2 linked regions of the Sus scrofa genome follow. The main gene of each other region encodes a partner of the protein of the gene in region 2 in a complex. Links are inferred from orthologs where the notes say so. Each region holds a gene or a part of one and is shown on either strand. Other genes may lie near its edges. The genes, in order: GHRH and GHRHR.

Evidence for each region.
Region 1: the proteins of GHRHR (region 2) and GHRH are in contact, whole or in part, in a cryo-EM structure (PDB 7CZ5), measured with the Homo sapiens proteins. The link is inferred for Sus scrofa from reciprocal best matches to the Homo sapiens genes GHRHR and GHRH. Residues at the interface, in NP_000814.2 of Homo sapiens: Leu119, Ala120, Glu122, Glu123, Phe126, Ser127, Val129, Lys130, Tyr133, Val179, Lys182, Leu186, Phe187, Asp190, Thr192, Asp193, His194, Cys195, Phe197, His210, Thr213, Phe217, Ala271, Cys272, Asp274, Leu275, Asp276, Trp282, Ile285, Ile289; in NP_066567.1 of Homo sapiens: Tyr32, Ala33, Asp34, Ala35, Ile36, Phe37, Thr38, Asn39, Ser40, Tyr41, Arg42, Val44, Leu45, Gly46, Gln47, Leu48, Ser49, Ala50, Leu53.

What each region holds. Positions count from the first base shown.
Region 1 is NC_010459.5:40,392,989-40,402,677, reverse strand, and holds the start of GHRH (somatoliberin precursor), read left to right. Parts: upstream 1-4,820; 5' UTR 4,821-4,981; intron 4,982-8,859; 5' UTR 8,860-8,880; coding exon 8,881-8,960; intron 8,961-9,242; coding exon 9,243-9,347; intron 9,348-9,689. UniProt on the Homo sapiens protein: GRF is released by the hypothalamus and acts on the adenohypophyse to stimulate the secretion of growth hormone.
Region 2 is NC_010460.4:42,030,402-42,038,308, forward strand, and holds the end of GHRHR (growth hormone-releasing hormone receptor precursor), read right to left. Parts: intron 6,728-7,907; coding exon 6,574-6,727; intron 6,284-6,573; coding exon 6,223-6,283; intron 5,621-6,222; coding exon 5,551-5,620; intron 4,855-5,550; coding exon 4,763-4,854; intron 4,275-4,762; coding exon 4,145-4,274; intron 3,600-4,144; coding exon 3,558-3,599; intron 2,092-3,557; coding exon 1,966-2,091; 3' UTR 1,672-1,965; downstream 1-1,671.

The sequences.
Region 1 (9,689 bases), on a different chromosome or scaffold from region 2:
GACTTGGGGATCCCGTAGCCTCCCCTAACTGGAAAAATAGCCGAGAACCCAGGGCAGGAACTGGGCAGAGAAAGATGGGGGGCCCAGGTGGCTGAGGAGGGGATGGCCTGATAATGTAACTGTCCTGGACAGTGCTCCCAGGATTTCACAAGGAACAAAGCCCTGGCTTTGGGGCATCTGGCTTTCTCAGCGAAGCCTGACATCACCAACGACTGGGAAACAGTGACATCTGCCGGCTGCCTGAGGCCAGAGCCCTCCTCCTTGGTTGGAGAACCACAGGGCGTTAGACCATCTTAGAATCCTGGAACAAAGAGGATTTGGCCTTTGATTCAGCTGTCTGGGAGGAGCCCAGGATTCTGCATTTCTAACAAGCCGCTAATACCACTGGGTCTGGGTCGGCAGTGCACCTTGTTTAGAAAGCTTTATTTATATCAATTATATCTCAGTAAAATTGAAGGAGTTCCTGTCGTGGCGCAGTGGTTAACAAATCCAACTAGGAACCATGAGGTTGTGGGTTCGATCCCTGGCCTTGCTCAGGGGGTCAAGGATCCTGCGTTGCCGTGAGCTGTGGTGTAGGTTGAAGACGCGGCTCGGATCCCTCGTTGCTGTGGCTCTGCCGTAAGCCAGTGGCTACAGCTCTGATTAGACCCCTAGCCTGGGAATCTCCATATGCTGCAGGAGCAGTCCTAGAAAAGGCAAAAAGACAAAAAGACAAAAAAAAAAAAAAAAAAAAAAAAAGGAGGAAAAAATGTTTTAGGGGGCTCAGAGATGAATCAGATCTGGTCCCAGACATCCCAAGTGTCTTAGGGGTGCTTTTCCACATATAAAATCTGTTGATCACAAGGCAAGACCAGTAGGGAACATTTCTTGGAGAGGTGGGATCCATAGAGTGCTTTGAAGAGGGGTCAGATAGATCTTTGCCTGGGAGAGCTTGCTTGAAGGATCAGCCAGGGACTGGCTTCCTGTGCTGCATGCCTGGCACCAGCACTTCATCTCCCAACCCAGAAAAACAGCCTGGTAAACAGCCATAATAACTGACTTGGGACAAGCCCAAAGATTCCAAGCAAGGTGACTGTTTAAAATACTAATGAGGGGGAGTTCCCCTTGTGGTGCAGTGGAAACCAATCCGACTAGGAACCATGAGGTTGCAGGTTTGATCCCTGGCCTTTCTTGGTGGGTTAAAGATCCAACATTGCTGTGAGCTGTGGTGCAGGTTGCAGGCACAGCTCAGATCTGGCTTTGCTGTGGCTCTGGCGTAGGCCAGCAGCTGTAGCTTCAATTAGACCCCTAGCCTGGGAACCTCCATATGCTGCAGGTGCGGCCCTTAAAAAAAAAAAAAAAAAAGCTAAATAAGTAAAAGTAAAGTAAAATACTCATGAGGGTAATATTTCCAAGCAACCCAGAGTCACTTAATTGACTTGCTAAGTACGACCGACTTTACCTCTTTAAAAGAGTTCTAATGGCCTTCCCAAATGCAGACTTTTCCAGAAAGAGGTGAACCTGGATCACCATCCATTCACAGGCACTTATGCTAGGATAGGACGTGAAATAGGAGACAGAACCTTTTGGCCCCATTTCACAGAAGAGGAAACCGAGGCTTGGGAAAGTCCTGTGACTTTGCCCGAGGCCACCAAGCCAGGCCAACCCCTACGACATCGCTCTCATAAGCACTCCTGTTGACATCTGCTGCTGCTGACTCCACAGAAGGGCCTAGAAGGCATAGAGTGGGCAGCAGGGGATAACAAAGGAATCTGGGAGTCTGGGGTCCAGGCCTTCCAGCCTTGCATGGTGGCCTCAGGCTGGGAACACCGCCGTCATCCAGGGAGAGCGATGAAAGCAGCTTTTACAAAGCAGGGTCTGAAGCCCTGGGACAGGCCCCCTTTGTCGATTCCCTCTGCGCTCCCCACCCCCAGGCCTAGGCCTCTAGCATCATCGCCCTCTGAATGGCTGGCTCCGGCACACTGGAAATTTGCAACACAAATGCTCCACTTGTCTCTCGGCGGAGCCTCGCTGCCCCAGCCTTTTGGGGCTTTTTAAAGCCAGCCTTTCTCTAGGGCGCTTTCTTTCCACAGCTCAAGCCCCCAACCCTTATACACAGGCACGATCACTAATTAGCGCTGGGTTCAAACCCATCCTGGGAAGAGAGCCGGGTGGTGAGCAAGCCGTTCCCACCCCTCGGAGGATAAGGACGAGGCGGCTGGCAGCAGGACTTGGTGGAGGGGGCCTGGCTCTCACTCTCAAGGCACATTTTCACTTCCTCCCTCCCATCTCCTTCCTTGATGGGTTGGAGCAATGACAGCAAATTAAGCTCCTCACCCAGGAGGGCTCCCAGCTCTCCCGCCTGGCTTTCTGAGCTCAGCTCTGATCATTAGACCTACAGTGATGGCTACATTTGCCAGGTGTATCAGGTACTTTACAAGCATAGTTTCTGATCCTCACAACAACCTGGGGAGGTAGGTATTATCATGCCCATTGTACAGATGTGGTAACTGAGGCTCAGCACAGCTAAACACCTTGCCCAAAAATCACACAGTTGGCTCCAAACCCATTTGATACTTTCCCAGCTTTACCGTGACTTCTCCCTTTTCTTGATTCTTGGAACATTTAGTGGTGTGTCCCTCTCTGGGTCCACCTCCTTGAGGTAGATGGTGGCACAACTGTAGAAGTTTATGAAGATTCACTGAACCATAGACTTCAAACAGGTGACTTTTTTGGTGTGTTAATTATACTTCAGTAAAACCCTTAACTTTTGGGAGGTTTTTTTTGGCTGCACCCATGGCATGTGGAAGGTCCCAGGCCAGGGACTGAATCCAAGTCACAGCAGTGACAACACCAGAGCCTTAACTTCTGGATCACCAAGAAACTCCTAAAGTTCTTAAAAAAAACTAGAAGAATTAGAATTGGTGGGCCATAGTAGCTCAGGTTGTTGTGGAATACTAAATTTGCAAGCTAGAAAACTTTGAGTCCTGGCTCTACCATTGCACAGCTGTGTGACTGTGGAAAAGTGGGTAACCTTTCTGTGCCTCTTTCCTCATTTAGAACAACGGTGATAGCAGTAGGAGCTTACTTATGTGACTTACTCTATTCCAGGCCTGTACCCTATCCACAGTCATATTTAATCCTCACCCAACAGCCTCATGAGATGAGCCCCATCACTCTCATTTCACAGATGAGAAAACTGAGATTAGGCATGAAGTCTTTAGCTCAATCCCTAACACAGAGCTTCAGCTGGGGTTGAATTCTCATCCCTGTGGTTTCTTGGGCCAGTTCTGTGTGTCCCATGTCTGTACTCTGGCCTGGTGTCCATTCTGGGTGCCCAACTCTGGGTGGTACCCACCTTGCATTCGCTGAGATAACCCCACACCTCCTGACTGTAAGAGAGCCCACTGCCCTGGGCTTCCTAACTCCTCCATCTGCCACCTGCAGCTGTGACCCATCAGCCATTCTTAGTCCCTGGGGATCTGGCCTGACCTGACCACACCACGTTGTGTCCAGGCCTGCAGGGTGATGCTGCTCAGTCCCTGCTTCTCTGGGGAACATCCCATGTTTGCTCTGTGCCAGGAACATGGCTCAGTGAAGGCTAAGAAGCAGGTTCATAAAGTGTCACTTGGAGGAGGTTCCAGAAACTACTGGTTCTAACTGCGAACCAGAGAGGTGTCCCGGGGCAGGCAAAGGCAGTCTCCACTCCTCAATCTCTAACCAGTGCAGCTCCATTTTAAAAATCTGTTTTAGGAGTTTCCTGGTGGCTCAGCAAGTTAAGGACCTGGTCACTGCTATGGCTCAGGTTCCTCAGCAGTGACCTGGGTTTGATTCCTGGTCCCAGAATTTCTGCATGCAGTGGGTACGGCCAAGAAAAAAATCTGCTTTGTATACTGCACTTCCATAGACGATTTCCAAAGAAAGTTCTGTGTCACTATTTACAAACTTGGAAAACTTCTGTTCTCTGCTGTTTTCCCTGAGCTGTGATGGGAGTAGAAATCGATAGTGTAGAAACTGAGGCCTGGAAGGCAGAAGTAACTTCTGAAGGTCACCAAAGTCATGACGGACAGACACGGAGGGGTAGTTGGACTCAGCTCACAGCAATTTCCAGTCCTCCACAGCAGCCCTATGGGAAACCAGGGCTTCTGCCTCGCACACTTTCATGCCGTTCTTGAGGCTTCTTTTGCTATCGGCTAGAGAAATCTGGAAGCACAACTCTCCCAAGGCACTCCATCTCTCCCCTCTCACCTCACACACCTCTGAGGCAGCCTTGACACATGAAACAGATGCTCCCCAGGCTCGCTGCCTACACCGACCTGTGACCGCAGCAGGTACAAGTCAAGAGGGGAAAATCTTGATAATTGGATGACAAGGGAAATAGCAAGCAACTTTCCTCACTAAGAGGAGAAAAACACCCAGCCTGTAATGTTGGCTGCCCTAAAGTGAAATAAAGTTGCACACGGACAAAACAAGATTATACCAACTTTTTAAAACGCCCATTTATCTCTGAGAGTAAATGGTGGTTCACTGTTCTGAGTACTCCAATTATTAGAGTAGCAGGATTATACTCTCTCTTCTTCTCGGAATAATATAATTTTTTTTTTTTTGCTCTGTCCGTGCTCTCGAAGATAAAGGGCAAGTTCAATACGAGTCTGAATTGGCGAGGGGCAAAACCTCTTTCCCCCGTTAGGGTTTGTCAGTGCGATGCTAAAAACGGTCCTTTGGTGGACTTGTGTGTAATTGATTCTCTGACGCTGACAACACTTAGGAAAATGAAGGTATAAATGATGCGAGTACCACGCAGGCGCTGAAGCAAACGGCGAGCCCGAGGCCCGTGGAACTGGAGCCGCGTCTTCTGGCAGAGGGAGACCTGCCACATCGGAGGTGAGAGGGGGGTGGCCCTGGGGGCCGGGCTGGATGGGGGCAAGACAGTTGATCTTCTCACCAGTTCAGAGACACCCAGTTCACCAGGCCCACTGCCGTCTTCTTTGCCCGTGGACTGGTGAGTACCTTTTAGGCCCCTTGTTAGTGGCTCTGGAACGTGCTCTTGATGGTTGGCGCCATTTTGAGGTTGTCTTGGACGCTTGGCCACTCAGTCCTCGGAGAGGTGGCAGGCAGACATGTGCCAGGTGTCTGTCAGGGGCAGCTGAGGTCTCGGTGCTCCTTCATGGGTGTGGGGGTGGGCTGCTAGAGCAAGGCACCCGCTGGCTAGATTCTCCTGCCCACAACGGGATTCTGCCACGGACCCGAAAGGAAGCAAGTGGCTGTGCAAATCAATACCACTCACCGATTGCTCAGGACCGATTTAATACAATTGCCTGGAAATTGATAACGTTTTGCTTTCTTGCTCAATTGCAGCCGCACTCCTTACTCTAGGTTTTAGACACAATGACCTGCTCCTGAAGCTTGTCTCTTGACCCTTCGGGGCTTCAGGGATCCTGAGTATTTGCGTCTTTTACCATAAGCCACCTCCAACCTTTCTGGAAGGGGGTGGGGCACCACCCTTTTGAATGACCGTTCAAGATGCTTCCTCACTAAAAACTTAGATCTCCCTCAACTTAGAGCACTATTGCTGGAAACAGTTTATAAACAGAGTCAGGATTGGGGGGGGCGGGGTTCTTAAATCACACAGTAGAATATTCGAGAAAGGTAAAAGATTTGTTTTTTTTCCCCCAGGAGTTCAAAAATGGCCTCGCTAGTTTGGCACTTGAGATCTGACCTCTGTCGTCAGTTGAAGGTTCATCTGCAGAATTCTTGTAGCATTCTTGGCACCAAGTCTGGCAAAAGGTGCCAGCTGCTGTGAATCAAGTGCCCATTTTTCCTGAAGCCAGACAACCTCGAATATATCTAATGACAAAATTAGTTTGTAAGCACTGTTGAGAACTGACTGATACTTGTAATGATAGATGATAAACCCTAAGATGACTTTGAGGCCATCAAGGAGTTGTCGGTGGTGCTGTTGGATATGCACTAGATTTAATTCCATGAATTCTAGCTCCTTGGACTGGCCATGTGGAAGATATCTGTCAACAGCTAGCTTCTCCGCTGTTCTCATCTCATAGGCTGGGTTATTCTTGTTGTTTTCCTTTTTTGTCCAGTGGGATTTTGCAACCACATGGATTAGGTTCTCAGCCCAGAGGTTACAAGGGTGTCATGACCCATCCCTCGGGCATGTGGTTTATAGCAAATGTGGTGCCTCTTGGTGGACCAGACTATGAGGTTACCCCACCTCATTCCTGAATGACCAGGGGTCATTGGACTTACGTTGACTTGCCCCCCAAAGACTGCCCTCTTATCGGGCTATTTTCAACTCCCTAAAACCACTGGCTGTGCATAGGAACACGCCAACCAAGCAGGTGTTCCTGTCTTTCCCCCTTATTTCTTCCCCAGAGACTTAGTGACAAAGAGCAAAAGCATGTGGTCTTCTCAGAACCGTTTCCCACGCACAGGTGATGAATTCTGAGGCGCCCGCATGAATAGGGGATTGTATCTGAGAGGGCGCCTCGCGGAGCAGGAGGAAGTCTGCTGGCCTGGGAATCACGAGGCCCCTTCTGAAGTGCCCACTCCGAGACTAATTTGTTGGAGGACCACAGAAAAAGGCCCTTCTCTTCTCTGGGCTCATTTCCCTGATGGTAAAATAGAGGTGGTGATACCTGCTCTGGAGGACAAAGGTGGGGGTGTCCTGGGAATCCCTTGAGCCAGCCCTGGGAGAAGTGGTGGCGGGTGGGGAGACCCAGGGGGAGCCTAGGCCAAGAGCAGGGGTTTGGGTTTCACTCTGGCGGGGATGGAGTGCCAAGGCTTCTGAGAGGTGAGTGAGTGATTAAGGGTCTGGATGTGCCCTGGTGGTTAAAGGACCAGCAGGACAGAAGGCAAGAAAGCCCAGGCTGCAGCTGGGAGACGGAAGAGCAGTGGTGTGTGGAGGAGATTTTCTGCCTCCAAATATCTCCCTGCTGAGGAAACCAGCAGTGGACCAGCTCAGAAAAGGGGGAGCCAGTTGTGACAGTGTGATGAGAAGGGCAGAAGACGAAAGACCCTCGGTTTGGGGGACGGGGTCTAAGTCAGGTGCAAAGCGCATCTAAAGGGCTTTTCGTGGGAGCTCCTCCTGTGGCACAAGGGGATCGGTGGCGGCGTGTTGGGAGCGCTGGGACATGGGTTCGATCCCCAGCCCAGCTCAGTGGGTTAAGGATCCAGCATTGCTGCAACTGTGTCTTAGGTCGTGATGGCAGCTAGGATCTGATCCCTGGCCCGGGAACTCTGTATGCCTCAGGGTGGCCAAAAATAAAAAAATAAAGGGCTTTTCGTGTGGATGGAGGTGCAGAAGCTCTGGGAGGCACAGCAGGTAGACATCGAAGGGGCTGCCCTCGAGGGCCGATATCACGGTCTCATCTTTTCTCTGGCCCCAACCCTCCCCAGAATCATGAAAGCTTAACAAGAATTTGCAGCAAAAGGGGACTTGGAACTTGATGCAATGAGAAAAACCTCCTAACAAGAGGAGCTGCCTGGAAATGGGACAGACTGGCTTGGAGGTAGTGAGCTCCCTGTCACTCACTGGCAGTGAGTGTTTGAGCTGAAACTGGAGATTGTCTGTCTGGGGGGAGAGGGCGCACGTCAAAGAGGAGCTGGTGACTGAGGTCTGGACCGCCCCCTCCTCTAGCTCTGGAGGTGCAGGGGTCTCAAGGCATGCCTGGGTTAGTTGAGACCCCAGTGTCTGGGAGAAGGGGGGTGAGCCCAGAAAAGGGAGTGGATTCCTGCAGCGCTGGCTCTGCCTGCCGGAAATCCCTCCTCAGCAGGACCAACTGGAAATGGAACCTGATGGGCAGATGGTCCTGGCCTCTCTGGGGCTGGCTGGGCCTCCAGGGCGGGGGGCTGCATCCCCATGGAGTGGACATCCTGCGGAGAGGGGGTGCCCCTGGGATATGAGAAGACCCAACTCTTAGGTGGCCGAGACACGCCGAAGCCAGCCATCTCTGCCACGCACTCGGTCTGCGTTGACGGCAGAGGCACCTCCCCTGCCGAGGCGCGAGGCGGGCTCTCTCCCCTGTTGACTGTTCTTCCCCTAATTGCATGGTGTCAGCAGGCCCCAATTAAGGATAATTACGTGATCTATGAGATGCTTCTGCCTCACGGGCTCCCCAGGCTCCCTGGTTTCTATCAGGACTAGAAGTCTTTGGCAAAATCTAAGCATCTGGAGCAAGAGGTATAGCCTCCCCCCACCCCACCCCCAGCTCCACACAAAAACAAAGCAGCCTGCCCTCTGAGCATCAGAGGATTGTGGAGAATTCCCCACACACCACACCCTCCAGGTACCCCATCTCATGCTCACAAGGACCCTATGCCCTGGGCAGAGTTAGCAACTCCATTTTGTGGGTAAACGGAGATCCAGAAAAGAGAAGCCCCCCGTCCTGGGATGCACAGCTAGTGATGGATGTGAACTCTGATTTGTCTGACCCAGAGCCTGAGCTGTTAGTCCCGCTCACCGCTGTCAGTGCCGCTGATTTAGAGGACGAAGGGAAGATGCTTGCTTTCCCCTGCTTCCTCGATGAGGCCTGAATGCCACGTGCAATGCCTCACAGCCAGGGGCAGGTTCACCATTATCCTTCACTTAATACGCAACCCCGTGAGGTCAGCCGGGTGGCTTTATCATACCCATTTTACAGATGAAAAAAAAAATGAGGTCAGAGCTTGTGTCTAGCAGAGGCCAGACTTGAACCCAACTGTGTCTGACTTCCAAAGTCTGTGTTCTTTTTCCTGCCCCACAGCTTCCAAAGGACAAGGACCAAAGCTTGCATGGGGCCAAGACCTGAGCTGGGCCCAGCCAGCAAAAGGTGTCCCAGTGGCTATGGCTCCAGCTGACCTTTTCCTCCTGTCTGTCACTCCCAGGTGCCACCACAGGGGTGAAGGATGCTGCTCTGGGTGTTCTTCCTCGTCACCCTCACCCTCAGCAGCGGCTCCCTCAGCTCCCTGCCGTCCCAGCCCCTCAGGTAAGCAGTCCTGACAACAGGCCCTGGGGTTCCTGCCAGCCCACTGCTGTCCGTGCAGGTGTGGTGTCAGGGGATGCAGAATTGAGCTGTCAGCTGGCCACAGGCAGCCTCCCCTGCTCCTCTCTGGGAGGGAGGTGGACTCCGAGCCCCAGAGAGGTCACCCCCACCCTCCTCTCTAGGGGGTGAGCAGGGCAAAGGGCAACAGAAGGACCTTACTGAGATCCGGTGAGACAGCCCACCGGCCTCCCACCCTGTCCTTTGACCTCTGACTCCTTCCACTAGGATGCCGCGGTATGCAGATGCCATCTTCACCAACAGCTACCGGAAGGTGCTGGGCCAGCTCTCTGCCCGAAAGCTCCTCCAGGACATCATGAGCAGGCAGCAGGGGTGAGCCGACATTCTAGTGACTTCTTGCACTCCAAATGCCCCTCAGTTTGCAGGGACCAACTCTGGTCTCTTCCCTTGCTCAGTACCTGTCATTTCGGGAGTTGCCAAATCTCAGCTTACTTCTAATAAATGATCATTGGACCCCCACTATGTGGTTGTCCCCATTACCACTTGGTTATGACTCTGTGCCAGAAACAAAGGCTACATGGGGACAGGTACACACCTTTGACACAGCGCCGGGCACAGAGTAAGCCCTTGGTAGTATTAGCCATTTTCTTAGTTTCATTGCTCTAACAACTCTGCAAAGGAGGTACTCTTACCCCCATCATACAGAAGCTACAT
Region 2 (7,907 bases):
CGCTTTCCCGATAACTAATGATATCACGCATCGTTTCATGTGCTTTTTGTCCATTTTCCTATATCACTTATGTTAATTTTAAATATAAGAAACAAGATACAAATTGATGAACATAGCACGATCTTCAGACGTTTCAAAAATGCAAAGGAAAAAAATCTTTTAGGAAACATACAAAAATATCACTGGTGATTGTCTTTCGGTAAACAGAATACAGCTGATTTTTATTTTCTTTTTAAATTGCTTCTACATCTCCCAAATGCCCTGCAATCAGTATGAACTAATTTCATGATCGGAGGCTGAAGAAGGGAATGCGTGGCAGGGTTTTCAGACCAAGCCGCATTTGTCTGACCAGAAAGGTGCTGGGTGGGTGAGCATCATGGCCAACAATGTGCCCTTGGGTTTCTTACAAAGGCATCTCTTTTCCCCGTGTGACTGCAAAGGAGAATGTGGCCTTCAGAAGACAAGGCAATGGCAGGAAGGGTGAGGGTGACGAAGGAAGACTTCCCAGAGGCCACGGGGAGCTGAGCTTTGCGGGACAGACCTGCTGTGAGCAGACCAAGAATGGGAGAGATTTGGTCCTGACCTGCACTAGCCATTTCTGCCTGTTCGCTATCCTGAAATTTCCCTCTATGCCCATCAGTCAGCAAACTGCTCCCCAAGGACAGCACCCAGTTCTCACCCTCCTACCTCCTGCCAAGGAGGAGGATGGGGGAGGAGTGGACTATGACCATTATTGCATCGGTGGCTCTTAATGGGGGGGGAGGGGGCACGGGCGCGATCAGCTGGCAGCAGGCTGGGGGCACGAGGGCACACAATGGAGAAGATAGAAGAGAAAAATCTAGAACTGAACGATCTCCACCCTAGAGAAAAGGAGGGAAAGAGATCCCAGCCATTTCCAAAAGAACAAACCCAAAGGCTAACAAGGCAGAGGAGAGACGTGCTCATTAGTTATCAGAGAAATGCAAATTGAAACAACAAGGAGATGTCACTTTACACGCATTTGACTTGCAAACATTAAAATGCTGGCAAATGCCAAGGGTTGGCGGCACTGCTGGTGGGAGTGGAGATCTGGCCGGAGTTCTGGAGCGCAATCTGGCACCACTCTGTCACGTCAAGAAAAGGCACAACCACTGACCCGGCACTTCCAGTCCCGGGTATGTGTCGCCATGGGCTCGGGGGCGGGAAGACCCAGCACATGAACACGCACTGACCTAGAGCCAGGGGGAGACGAGACGGTCACACGTGGGTGGTGACACCCCGTGGCACCATACAGCAGTCAAAACAAGCGACCAGATGAGCGCCCACGGCAACCTGGGTGGATCTCTTACAAGAATCGTGCCGGGAGGAAAGACGTTAGAAGCAGGATGAGACATACAACCGACAGCATTTATGTAAATTAAAAGTACAGACACGCATCACACCACGCATTTCGCGGGAAAACACAGAAATGCAAGTATTCACATGAACACGCTGGAATATTTGCCTGTGGGAGGAGGGGAGCGGCGTGGAGGTAGAGATGGAAGAGGGTACATTTTTAAAGTGCATTAAACCAGAGGACCCCAGTACAGACAAATGACAGCGACGCGACATGAACTAAGGCGTGAGGTCTGAAGAAAAGCCCACTGATCCCTCCCTGGCAGAGGCGCATGGAGTCACTCGAAAGCACATCCACTCATTTACAAGTTTATTGGCTCCTCTGGCTTTCGGCTCCGGCCCAGACTCCAGGAGGAGGGACGCGAGAAGGAAAGAGACAGAGGAACCAACGACTTCAGAGGTAGACACACAGGGACTCAGGCCAAAGAGTCAGAGGCAGGACAGGAAAGAAGGGCTGGACTGCAGCCTGGGCAAGGGCACGAACGGAGGGTTCCTGGGGGGCAGGGGGCTGGTCCCCCTCCTCTGGAGGAGGGTGGACCCAAGCCGCTGCCCACGTTCAGGTGTGGATTCCAGGTGTGTGACAAGGGCAGCTTAGCACACAGTTGTCAGCACCTTCGCCCTTGAGCGGGAAGGCTTTGCCCATTTGGCATGAGTCCTCCAGGCTGGCAGAAGTTCAGGGTCATGGCCATGCCACCTCCGTGAGATCTCAGTCCTCACCTCCAAGGAAACAGGGAGGATGTTAGGGAGGTCCCTTGGCTGCTTCTTTACTCAACCCCAGTGGGGCTGAGAGCACAGGGAGAGACCATGCAGGAGAAACAGAGACAGGGGTTTCTGGGGCAGGAGAAGCTATGGTTGGCCGCAGCCACTGCTAAGTACTGTGTCTGGAGGATACTACTTCCTCCTTCCTGGGAGTATTTCTGACCATTCCCTTCCACTCTTTTTCTGCCTTTTAGCACTGCCTTTGTCTAGGCCCAGTTAAAGATATTTATGGGTGCTTTATTTGAGTTTCTGGTAAAAAAAAAAAAAAAAAAAAAAAAAACCTACTCTGTCTTCTCCAAATAGCTGAGACCCTGTTCTGGGGCTCAGTCCGGCCCCTGCCCACTGAGCTGAATTGTGGCCACTGGGAGCCTGTCCAGAGGACATGACCTGAAGGAAGTGAAGCCTCCAAACTTTCTGAGGAGTCGCAGTTGAGGGTACTGAGAATAAGTGAAAAAAAAAAAAGCCATTTGGGAAGTGCAGGGGGTTGGGGGTAATGTCTGCAGTTTCACATCTCCAAGGGGGCTCCGGTGGGCAGAGGGAGCAGAGAGGCTGGGACCTTTCTGACAAAGATGAGCCTAAGCGGTGACAAAAGGCAAAAGGGAGATATATTCTGTTTGTCCAACATAAAAGTGAGCTTCCTGACAACTGTTGAGAGGTAGTAAGCTCCCTGTCTCCAGAGGCATGTAACTGTCTGGCCCTCAAACCTGCTTCCTGGAACAGATCCCTCGACACATTTCTGTGGAATCCCTTTTTTCAGACGTCATCTGGGGCACTGAGTTCAAATTCCCCCACTTCTCCCATAAAGCAAGTCTGTCCTAAAGGGAAAGTGTCGAGTGTCTTCGGGCGGGATGTTCTAATTGGCTCCTCTCTGCCATCTCTCCATCATTCTGCAAGAACACCGACACCATCTATCCTGTCTCTTCACGTTTGTCCACCTCTGCTGGGTCTGGGTTTTTGTGCGTCTCTCCTCCAGTGCCCTGCCCTCCATTGTCCTCCCTGGCTCTGCACCTGAATCTATCTCCCTAGACTTTGTATGTCTACCTCTGGCTTTCTTGATTCCTCTCTGTCTTCTCTCTGTCTCTCCAGGAACTGACTTGTTCGTTCCCCCACTCTCCTTTTTGTTCAATTTTAGGAACACAGAATTAAGGGATCCCTTTACCCCCCCCCATCCTCTTATGATCCCTGAAAGGCCTCTTCTACTTCCTGTTGAATGGACAGTAAACTTGGCCCAGCCCAGAGAAGGGATGGATAAAAGATGTTTATAGGAAGTATTCAGGTGTAGCTTGATCCAGAAGCTCAGAACAGACTCCCAGGAAGGACTGTAGAACTGGGATTAACAGGGGCTGGACAGGAGGGGGAGGGAGGACGTAGGACTGGTGAGAGCGAAGCCTTAATGAGTAAGGACAGCCTGAAGGGTCACATACCTCTTGGTTGAGGAAGCAGTACAGGATGGCAACAATGAAGCCCTGTGGGGCCAAAGAGAAAGGGGCCCGTCACCTTGGCCCGGCCTCAAGGTGTCTTCCTACTACCTTTTCACCCACCGCCAGGCTATGGCTTGAGCCAGGTCTTTGGGAAAAGGGTAAGAAGGTGTGTTCATCACTTACTATGTCCAGTGTATTGTCACATGTAACTGTCACACAAGACGGCCAAGGCTGTACTGTGGGCCCCAGTGGCCCATTTCTCTGATTTTCTTTATTCCTGCATCGCCCAGTATTAAGCAAAGAGCCTGGCACATAATAGGTGCTCAGTATATATTGAATGGACTGGGTGGATGGATGGAGAGATGGGAGGATGGTTGGACAGATATGTGCAGGTGTAATTGAACAATAGAGACATGGATGGATGGAAGAGGAGCAGCCTGGCGGGCAGCTGAATGAATGGCGAGGGCTGGAAGGAAGAATAGCCAGCCTAGTCGCCCTGACCTACCGTGAAGTCAACCCGGCCCATGGACGGGAGCACCTGCCTCCTGCCAACGACTCAGAGGGAAGGAGTGAGTGCCTGGGGGCCTCACCTGGAAGGAGCCCAGTCCCAGCTCCAGGGGGAGGCGGATGCCCAGGCCAGCACTGTCAGGCAGGAAGTTGAAGATGACGTAGTGGATTCCAAACAGTGGGATGAGGAGAAGGGTTGACTTGGAGAGACGCCTGCAGAAGAAGACAAGCCCAGGGCTGGAATTAGAAACACCTACATGCCCCCTGCCTCCTTTCACTTCCCACTGGTGTTCTTTACCTCGGACCCCTGGAGTCTAAGGTTCTCTCTGCCAAATGCTCTTGTCTCAATGTATTCCAGTCAAGTCTGTGCATCTAGTTCAAAGACACTTCCTCCGGGAAGTCTTCCTTGATTGCACCCCAAACTGCACCATCTATTTTAAAAGGATCTCCTTCAGGAGGCGCCTACTGAAATTGATCTCAGCACTCATCAGCTGTCTGGCCTGGTAACTGGCTGTTTGGAGCCCCCACACTTCCTATGCTGTGATGTCCCAGAGGGCAGGGGCCAGATCCATTCTCTCTCTGGGAACATGGTAAGAATCATAGGACCAGGATCACAAATGCCTAATCGTGAATCAAAAAGGAACATGCTGACTCCTGCTCCAGTTTTGTCCCATAATCCCTAAAACACACACACACTTTACCAGTACTGAGGCTGGGTGTGGAGGCTGCCCTGAGCTGGCTCCAGTTTCCTCAGCAGGATGCGGATAATATTGAGAAAAAGCCCAAAGTTCACCTGGAAAATAGAGGTGCAGGAAGGTGGAAAGCAAGGATCAGGGTGACTCCAATGCCGGGGGTGGGGCCTCTTTGGGGCCCAGGAACCTCAAGTCCTGAGAGGCGGGGATGTGCAGGTGGAAGGATGTGCATATCACTGCTCTAGACCTTGACCTTGTCACCTAGTGACTAGGAAGTCCCATGTGGGGTTCAAGGACTCAGGGGCTCAGGGTCCTCCTCCCTCTCCAGTCATGGGACCAGGGTGGAGGTCAGGCCTTGCCATCCTGCCTCCAGCACCTCTCAGGCTCTTCTCTGGCACAAAGCCTATGGCCTTCACTTTGCACAATTGCAAAACTGACAAAAATGTGTACATTCACCCAGGCCACGCAAACCAGTCCTGGATGCTCTGTCTTCTGCATGGGAGCAGGTAAGCGTTTCAGCAGCCACGCCGTCTACCCCCACAGCCCAGCCTCACTGCAGTAGTAGGTGATCTGAAACCAGGGCACAGACTCATCAAAACTCTGAGCTGGAAGCACTGGTTCTACCAACGGGCTCTTGAGGTCCAGAGAGGCTGCACAGAGAATCTGTGGCAGAGCCAGGCTGGAACCTGGGTGTCGGGACTCCCAGCCTGGAGTCGTGTTTCCTGCTGTGTATGGCTGCTCAGTGGACCCAGGCGGTAGGCTGAAAAAAGCAGAGGCCACCAGTCTCAGGCACTGACCCCCACGGAGAGGACGATGGGCCCTTTGATGATCCACCAGTAGGGGGAGCTGTCGTCCAGGTCCCAGCACCTGGGGAGAGGACAGGCCAGGACAGATGCAGGGGTGCCGTGCGGGCAGGTGCTGCAAAACCCTTTTCTGGAGGTACCCATGCTGCTCCCTCCTCTCTTCTCTCTGCCTGCTGGCCGTTAGGTTCCTCATTCTGGAATTTGGGTCTTCTAGCCTCATGCCCTACTGTCCAGCCTTATCTTCTCTCCCGGACATTTAGAACCTTTCCGAAGGAGCACCCCAATCCAAGCTGGACTCACCCTTTCTCTCCACCTGGAAGGTGAGTTTCTCAAAAATCAGTCTGTCTGCTGCCTTCTTACAGCCTCAACACTTCCGCCTCTGTTCCAAGAAGCCCCCACTGACAGCCCCCTACCCGTGCCTCTCCTGGAGCCCCGGCGCCCTGAGCCTCTGCACCCCCTTCCTGCCGGGGCTCAGGCCCCTTCAGTGCTGTCCACGGACCATGTCTCCCCACCCTCAGGCCTGGGGATTCCCTGAAGGCAGGAGCAGGAGCAGGAGAGAGCTCCTTCTCTCTCCCCAGGTTGAACAACAGCCACGTTGCCTGAATGTCCAATTCACAGCCCATGGGAACCCGGGACAGAGGGGACGAGGGGATCACGCAGACTCACGCAACATCCTCAAAGGCCAACTTGCAACCCACCCACGTGCCAGTGAAGAGCAGGGGCAGCCCTGCGGGTACAGAGAAGACGCGAGTAAGGGGTCTGCTCTCCATCCAGCACCTGCCTCCCACCTCCACTGCCAGCCACGGGGGCACCATGGAGGCCGGACCAGGCAAGAGCTCAGAGGCTGCGGACGTGGCCCCGAGCTCCAACACTTGCTGTAGGATTACAAGCTGCCCTTCCCCGCTCCGGGCCTTGGGGTCACCATGAGTGAGCTGAAGCAACCTTTGTGTGCCTATCCTGGGCATCCTCCACCCTCACTCCCACCCCCACGGTGCCCAACCTCGGCTGGATGCTCACCCCAGCCAGCGAGAACCAGCCACCAGAAGGCCCTCCTCGTGCTGGGTGACGTAGAGGCCAAGAGGCAGGTCAGGTAGACAGCTTCTGCCAGCAGCCAGCTGAAGTTGGTCATGGTGGCGAAATGGGAGGTGGCCACAGAGACCTTGCACAGAACCTGCGGGCCAGGGCCGGGTGCTTCAGAGCCGGGACGCCCACTGGAGCCCCACCCGGTCTCCCCACCCCACTCAGGCCCTGAGTCTCCAGGGCTGCTCCAGCTTGGGCTGCCCCAGAGGGGATGCGGTGGTGTAATGTGGTGGTTAAGACACAGATTTGAGGTCCAGACAGCCTGGGTCCCTGTGTACCATCTGGGTACCCTCCCCATACCTTAGCTTTTCATCTGTAAAAGGAAAAACCCGATTCCTAGCTCATGGCCGCCTCAGAAAGATTAAATGGAAATTTACACGAGTGGCTACTAGTTGCCTTCTCGTCCCTTCTCTCCTGAGCTCAAGTCAAGCCCTAGAGCTGAGGACATGGAAGGCCATTCATTCCCACGCGGCTCCATTCGGCCGCCGTTCGCGCCGGCACCCACACATGCACTCATTCACAGCTCGACTCTGCTCATCTGTCGGGGTGAGAGGCATGGCCTCCGAGCGTAGATGGCCCAGGCTGGGTCCCACTCCCACCCCTCAGCAGCTGGGTGACATCGCCAATTGTCCCTCATCTACAAACGGGACAAAAATGAAAATATAGGTAGGAAATAAAAGGAGATAAGAGATGCAGAGCGTTTAGTGTAATGCCTGGCACATAAGTGCTCCGTCTGTATTGTAATTTCCTTCCCTGATGAATGAAGGGCACGTGCTGGTTCACTCATGTATCTGTTCGTCTCGAGCACAGTGTCAGAGGACCTACTAAGCGCTGGGCCTCCACACGCAGCCCGCCTCCCTTTATTTTCCACCTCTTCTCATTCACTCGCCTCCCAGCCCCCGTTAGGACCCCCCAGTTCTTGGACTTGCCCCAGCCTCTCCTGTCTGCGGGGGCTGCTTCACCCGGCTCCTCCCCAGTCCTTCTGCATCATCGCTGCCCACCCAGCTCCAAAGCCATCTCCTTCCTGGAGCCCTCGCCTGTCCTCTCCCAGCTGTCAGCTCCGTCTCTCTGCCAGCCCCATAATCTGGTACAATCTGTTCTCTTTGTCCCCTTGGGGGCATCTGCAAGCCCCTCACACCCACAGGCAGCACAGAGAGACCTGCTCAGAGGGAGGGCGAAGAGGAAAGTCTGGGTGGAGCGGAACGTGGTCCAGGCTGGGGTAAGGGATGGGCCATGGAATAGGGGGAGGGAATATAGAACAGAGCGTGGAA